2 linked regions of the Canis lupus familiaris genome follow. The protein of the gene in region 1 purifies or fractionates together with the protein of each later gene. This does not show direct contact. Links are inferred from orthologs where the notes say so. Each region holds a gene or a part of one and is shown on either strand. Other genes may lie near its edges. The genes, in order: SLAMF1 and PTPN11.

Evidence for each region.
Region 2: the proteins of SLAMF1 (region 1) and PTPN11 purify together in Homo sapiens (affinity purification with western blotting; 3 studies listed by BioGRID and IntAct, with this or other methods). This does not show direct contact. The link is inferred for Canis lupus familiaris from reciprocal best matches to the Homo sapiens genes SLAMF1 and PTPN11.

Annotation. Positions count from the first base shown.
Region 1 is NC_049259.1:22,509,372-22,513,191, forward strand, and holds part of SLAMF1 (signaling lymphocytic activation molecule precursor), read left to right. Parts: intron 1-2,322; coding exon 2,323-2,427; intron 2,428-3,820.
Region 2 is NC_049247.1:10,376,998-10,380,817, forward strand, and holds part of PTPN11 (tyrosine-protein phosphatase non-receptor type 11), read left to right. Parts: intron 1-303; coding exon 304-371; intron 372-881; coding exon 882-1,033; intron 1,034-3,820. UniProt on the Homo sapiens protein: Acts downstream of various receptor and cytoplasmic protein tyrosine kinases to participate in the signal transduction from the cell surface to the nucleus. Positively regulates MAPK signal transduction pathway. Dephosphorylates GAB1, ARHGAP35 and EGFR.

The sequences.
Region 1 (3,820 bases):
TCATATTTGCAATGTTATATGAGATCATATAAAGGCTAACAATGTGGACAATGATTAAATGTTAACATTTCCTTTATTCTTATTTGTAACAGTCATATGATAGTGTTATAAAGATTAGAGTAACAGGGAAAATTATGCAACACACACTTGCTATCTGCGAGGGAATCCTTGTAGGTCTTATCAGGAGTGCTCCCTTGTATAACTCTGGGGAACACCACTCCCAAAGAATATGTGAGAATAATACCCCTGGAGTTTCTTGTAAATCATGTTCCCTGGACTCATGCCCTAACTGAAGACACCAAGATACAATAATGCACTAAGTTATTACAACTATATTTAAAAGAATTATCTAAATCCAGGTTAAAGTCCTGATGGGAAATCTAACAACACGCTAACTATGTTATGCTGAAGTGGTAAGACTACAGGTGGTTTCCTTTATCTCTTCTTCTCCTTTCCAAAACTTAACTAAACATTAAAAGCATGAGTTACTGACTTCTCTCCTGTACTTCTAAGTCAGGGCCTATCAAAGTCCTCTCAGATGGGAAGACAGGCAGGGGTGGATAAAGGTCTCTTAATTAAATTATTTCACAATCTCTTCATCTATCTCATTACTGCAAGTAATCCTTCCTTAAAGTCATTTTTTCTCCAACATATAGTATCTATGAGTTGTATGGGATCTTGAAAGTCATCTCTTTGAATCACCCAATTACTGCTTGAGTCATCCTCCCAGTATTACTTCCATAATGTTGGCTGGCTCCTTTTTACTAAAATATAGTCTGTGAACAAGCAACATTAGCATCACCCGGGATCTTATTAGAAATGCAGAACCTCAGGTCCTACCCCGGATTTTCTGAAACAGAACTGGCCTTCTAACAAGATGCCCAGGTAATGCGTATGCACATTCAAGTATGAGAAGCCCAGATCTAACGCAGCCACTTCTGGAAATGAGGAATCCCTTGTCTCCTAAGGCAATCCACTCCACATTTGAGCATCTCTTAGTGTCAGAAAGATCTTCACTATATTTAACCAAAATGTTTTCCCCAAATTCCAATCTTGGTTTATACCTGAAGGACTCTACAGAACAAGTTTAATTCCTTTTCTACATGACAATCCATCAAGTATATAAAGAGAAAGATCATGTTCCACCTGGAGTCTTCTTTCCTCCTGTAAGCCTTTTCAACTCCTTACCTTCTCCATCAGAGGACAGGATTCAGAGTTTCCTCACATGAAAACATGTTTCAAGTCTTGCTCTACATCCAGGAGAAATGGAGAGTAGCAATATCCTACCCCAGTGCCCCCAAAGTGTGTTGAAAGGATGATTTCCCTGGCATAAGTCTTGTTACCTCCATTTCACAGGGATGTGGTCTCAATTCACCCCTACACTGACTTTGTCCTAGTCTTATAGATTGTAGGCCATTTATTTAAAGTAACATCAGCTGAATTAAAAAAAAATGCCCAGGGCTATATTTGTGGGGAATGCGAAGAAATATAGGAAAAATTAGTCTGTTTGAAAAAAACAACATGTAAATATATCAGAGGGTTTTAAATATCATACAGTTAAGTGCAATCACGTATGAATTAGACTAATCTGGGGAATTTAAGTAGAGGAGAGGTCATTATAAGTTGGGGTAAGCAAAGAAAAAAAGCATGATGGGAAGAGCATGCACTTTAAGCCAAGAGGCCTCCGTGGGACTCCTGGCTTTGACGCTTCTTGGGTGTACATAGGAATATTAAGTCTTTCTGAGCCTTAGCTTCTCCATCTGTGAAACGTAACAATGGGATTTAGTGTACAGTCGATGTGAGACAAATGTGGCACCTGTGGAAGCATTGTAAACTGGCACACCTAATATGCTTATTAGTAAGTTCAGCACTCCGGCAGGGAAGAGAAGTCACGGGAAACCATGTCCTAGTAGGAAATAGCAGGAACAGCTGTGTGGGGTGGGGTGAACTCAGTGTGTTGGAGGTGACCGGACTGAGACAAATATTATGAAGATCCAGTTCCCTTCAGCTGCCCTGGTGACAGCCACACCAGTCCTGATGCACCACGAGGAAGACTCAAAACATCTGGAAATGCTCACGGTGAAGTGGGCGGCCTCACGAGGCTGTGAACTCCGTGATGCCACTTGGGGACTCCAAGCAGAGTCGTGAAAATTGAACTCGGGGGAATTTGCAGGAGCATTTCCACCTGGGAAGGAGGCTGGACCAGCTGACTCTGAGGGGTTTTCTAGCTCAAAGCCTCTGGATCTTGTGGTTCTCCGTGGGGGGAATTGGATGGAAACAACTCTGCTCGGCTGATTTCCGCTTTCTTTGCTTGCCTTGTAGTCTACTCAGAAGAAACCTGATCCCTTGCCAGCTGAGGACCCCTGCACCACCATTTATGTTGCTGCCACAGAACCTGTCCCAGAACCTGCCCCAGAACCTGTGCAGGTGAGGCATCTCTCTGAGCCTCCTCCCTGAAGGGAGGGTAGAGGTGGAAGAGGGGAACGGTGAGACATGACTAGAGCCAAAATAAAGCAGTCCTGAAGTGGGGGAGGCAGGCCTTAGCAAGTGGGTCACCAGGATCCTCCATGGCCTTGGCTGTGGGACTTCTGGGAGACCCTTCCTGGCTGCTCACATGGGGACACAGCTCTTTCTCTCTCACTAGTGTTTCTCTGAGAGCTGTCCAAAAACCACATCAGAATCAGCTGGCATATTTGCTAAAAATAAAGATTCCTGGAGCTTTCTACTAGGATTCTGTTCAATCAGAACGTCCATGGTGAGCAACCAGGCATCTATACGTTAAAAAACAACCTCCCCAAGGGATCCTAGACCAAGTGTATATTTGGGATTTGCATCTTGAGTCCAAGGTGTATAACAGAATCACAGGGAAGCTTTGTGAGAAGGCTCATGCCTGTGCTCCATCCACCCCGATTTCATCAGACTGTCTAGGCGGGGAGTGTGCCTGGCATGAGCGGGGAAGGGACTATGGTGTGCAGCCCAGATGGAGCCTCGCCAGCTACCCCCACTGCAAGATCAGCATGGATTAAGTTTACTCGACAGGAATTATTCCTTTTCCTAAATGGGCAGAAATAAATTCTGGGCTGAAATCTTGGGTCCAGTGGGGTTCTATTACATGAGATAGTTGAGGATCAAAAGGTCCCAGAAATGCCTGCATTTATCCCTCTGCCGCAAAGTTCCTACCAGACAGACAGACACCTGGAGGACGCCCTGTCTGCACCTGGAGCTCTAGTCTCAGAACAGTGTCCCAGCCAATGGGGGAATTAAACACACGAATCTGGCTTTAAAAAGCTTTAAGCAATAATGCAGATTTTTAGGGATGTTTTCTTCATCAAAAATAGTCTATTTCACATTTCAGCCAAACTTCCTGAATTCCTCCATTCCTGTCTTTCTCTGCCTCTTGAATCCCTCTACCTCGAAGATGTCTTTGCCCACAGCCCCATCGTACCCCCACCCCACCCCCGCAATCCATCCTTCTCTCTTTGGGTCTCACCATCCCTTTCTTTTTTTTTTTTTTTTTTTTTTTTAAAGATTTATTTATTTATTCATTCAGAGAGCGAAGAGAGAGACAGAGACACAGACAGAGGGAGAAGCAGGCTCCCTGCAGGAAGCCCGATGTGGGACTCGATCCCGGGTCTCCAGGATCACACCCCAGGCTGCAGGCGGCGCTAAACCGCTGCGCCACTGGGGCTGCCCTCACCATCCCTTTCTAAAGCTCATACGTTAGCATTCTCTTGGCTTCCCCTCTCCATGCTCAGCACCAAAGCAAACAGCAAGGGGAGGCTGGGAGCCAGGAGACACAGCTCCCGGTCTCCCCGATGGT
Region 2 (3,820 bases), on another chromosome or scaffold:
TAACATTTGATCCACACAACAACCCTGTAAAGTATGTGCCATTATCTGCATTTCACAGATGAGGAAACTGAAGGTCAAAGAGGTATGGGATTTGCCTTGGGAAGTCCTAGAGAAGCTGGGCTCCACGTGTGGATTGGACTAACCCCAAAGCCCTTAGCTAATCTATTCTCAAATACAAACAGGCAGTCTTATAAATACTCTCAAGAGCAGACATTGTTTCTGTTCATATTAATAGTGTGGGTTTGAGTCCAAAACCCCTATGAATGGCTCCAGCGTCATTGCTCTTTGTCCTTCTGTCCACAGTGCTGGGATTGGCCGGACAGGGACGTTCATTGTGATTGATATCCTTATTGACATCATCAGAGAGAAAGGTGGGTCATCTGGAGGGCAAGAAGTTGTAAGTTCTTTTTTAGTTTATGGAAGGAAAGTGCTAGTGAAAATAGCCTGGAGGAGAGAATTTGAATGTTAAAACATTTTTAAAAATCTGGGCTGAAGACTTTGACTTTCAGTTGTTTATAGGAGAACAAAAGTGATTCTATTTGAGCCTTTGACATAAAATGAAGCCCAGGAGCCGTGGTCCCGCTGCTGTGGTCTTTTGTTGAATATGCAGTGGTGGTCTCTGGGGTGGTGCTGATGGAGAGTCCTGACCTCCGATACTTAATCAGATCATTTTCTGGAATCATTTGTATTAGTCAGAAGGCAGTGTAGCCCTTGAAACATGTTCAGTTAGAACATTAAAGACTACATTTAAAAAAAAATTAAAAAAAAAAAAAAAAAAGACTACATTTACTATATCTCTGAGTCTGCTAAAAGTTGTGCATTAAACCACTTCATCCTGGCCCCACAGTTTCTCCTAATGCTTCATGGTGCTTGCTTTGCAGGTGTTGACTGCGACATTGATGTTCCCAAAACCATTCAGATGGTGCGGTCTCAGAGGTCAGGGATGGTCCAGACAGAAGCACAGTACCGATTCATTTATATGGCTGTCCAGCATTACATTGAAACACTACAGCGCAGGATTGAGGAAGAGCAGGTACCAATCCTGGAGGGGGCTGGTGTGCATATTTGTACTTTCTTTTCTGGGCAGCTCTGATACACTCTGCTTTTGAGCAGGATGGGCCTCTAAGAGATAGCTGTTACTGTTCAGGAATGAGAAACTCATTCCCAACCAGGAAGGGCCTCTCTGGAAACTATTCCCCACTTCACAACTCTGGTATTTCAGCAGAGGGTAGCTTGGAGATAGCTGCTATCATCCTGGCCTGGCAGATTGGGGAACTGCCACGTGGAAAGGTTAGGATTTTCCCAGACAACATCCCAGGATTCTCACATGGCAAGTTTGGAAATGAAAGCCTTGAAGTTTCCAGCCTGTTCCTGTTTAGATCCAGGCCATCTTTATCCTGATCCCATCTCTTAAACAAATGCTTCACTCTTCATAGCACATAGCAGTTTGAACCATAAACTTGGTTGAGTTGGAAACAGTGAAATTTCAATTTTAATAAGCCATGCATAATGAAGAAGAATGTGGAGTTGGAGCATTTCCATTTGAAGCTATTCATAACAGACACAAAGCTGAGTTAATTAAGAATACGCTGAGATGAGGGAAATGAGGAGACTGCTCCTTTGGGGATCTGGGCATCTCCCCCCCACCCCCCCACCCCCAACTGCTCTGCTGCAGACAGGGGAATGTCTAAACAGCAGTGATATCTGCCTACTTTACCCTGTGTATTGCCTTCCAGAGAACCCGGCTTCTCAGAATGGCACCTGCCAGCGAATTGAGAGACTTCTAGCCTAGCAGAATAGCAGCCACATTATCAAAAGCTTCATTAGCCAAAGTAAGATATCTGTCAGCTTAGTAGGTTCTCAGTTCACATAAAAAGACTAGATTATGGGGTGCCTGGGTGGCTCAGTCGGTTAAGTGTCTGACTCTCGATTTCAGCCCAGGTCATGATCTCAGGGTTGTGAGATTGAGCCTGGCACTGGGCTCCGTGTTCAGTGCAGAGTCTCCCTCTGCTCCTCTCTCTGCTCGTTTGCATTCTCTCTCTCAAATAAATAAGATCTTAAAATCCAAAACACTAGGGGCAGCCTGTGTAGCTCAGCGGTTTAGTGCCGCCTTCAGCCTGGGGCATGATCCTGGAGACCCAGGATCGAGTTCTGCGTCGGACTCCCTGCATGGAGCCTGCTTCTCCCTCTGCCTGTCCTCTCTCTCTCTATGTCTCTCATGAATGAATAAATACAATCTTTAATAAAAAATTCAAAACACTAGATTGTTTTCGTTGTACAAAAACATCTTCAGCAACGGTGTACGTATAGAAATATAAGGTCAAATAATCAACATGGTACCAGTTTTGACCTTCAGTGCTTTAAATCTGATTTGGTGTTATCGTAATTGTTACAAAATATTTAGATGGTTGCTATAGGCTATTTTCTATTTGTCTTCCAATTATACTGAATTTGGGCCAGGAATAAAACATGAAGTTGCCCATATAGAAAGACCTCCTAATAAATACAAAGAGAATGTAGCACACTATTGGTACAAATTCAGGAATATCTTGAAGCATATAATCTTGTTTGGAAAAGCTAGGGGAAAAGCTCTCTTTATTTCATTCAGAAGTTTTGGTATTTATCCTTGTTTTGGCAACTTTAGTAGGGACTTCCCCAGCCTTACAGCACTTGAGATCTTCTGAATTACCGTATATAGTCTCTCTGACCCTAAATCTCAAGATGTAATTTGGATTTAAGAACTCCTTTAAAGATAGCTTTATCGGGCAGCCCTGGTGGCGCAGCGGTTTAGCGCCGCCTGCAGCCCAGGGTGTGATCCTGGAGACCGTGGATCGAGTCCCACGTCGGGCTCTCTGCATGGAGCCTGCTTCTCCCTCTGCCTGTCTCTCTCTCTCTCTCTCTCTCTCTCTCTGTGTCTCTATGAATAAATCAGTAAAATCTTTTTTTTTTTTTAAAGATTTACTTATTTATTCATTCAGAGAGAGCTACCCTAAATCAGTAAAATCTTAAAAAAAAAAGCTTTATCACCCCAGGGTCAGGAGGGGGTAGAAAAAAGCAGAACATATTCCTTGATAATTTAAGTCTTATAGAATATCGAAACTGGATGTCACTGATAATCCTATTTGAAGAGTGCTTCAAATGAATGCATGCATTCATTCGTTCAGCCAGTACTTTTTGGTGCCAATATGTGCCAATATTGTCCTTATTAGCACATTAACTGCTCTTTGGGATCTGAGCCTTCAGAGTTTAAAAAGATGGGTTGGGGGATCCCTGGGTGGTGCAGCGGTTTGGCACCTGCCTTTGGCCCAGGGCGCTATCCTGGAGACCCGGGATCGAGTCCCCCATCGGGCTCCCGGTGCATGGAGCCTGCTTCTCCCTCTGCCTGTGTCTCTGCCTCTCTCTCTCTCTCTCTCTCTCTGTGACTATCATAAATTAAAAAAAAAAAAAAAAAAAAAGATGGGTTGGCTTATTCATTTTTAAAAATGAGATCCTATAACGTGTAGTTCCATTTAATTCCATGTATGAACTTACTACCTGATTTTGTGGTAGAATTAAGAAGTACCTTCTTCTGGTAGAAAGCTTAAGTGGTAGCCTTAAGAACTAGTGAAGCCACCTGAGTTTTAAACTAAGCCAAAGAATGAAACTCATTTAGGATCATTGGTTATTCTTTTAAATACCATCATTTCTACAATTCTGAAGAGTTAAAGACCTTTGGGAATGAAGGAATTTTTGAAAGAGGGTAAATGAAAAAAGACAGTGAGTCAGGGGTGTTGAGCCTGGGGAAGGAAGCAGGAAGTAGTGCTGGTGCTGGGAGGAGGCG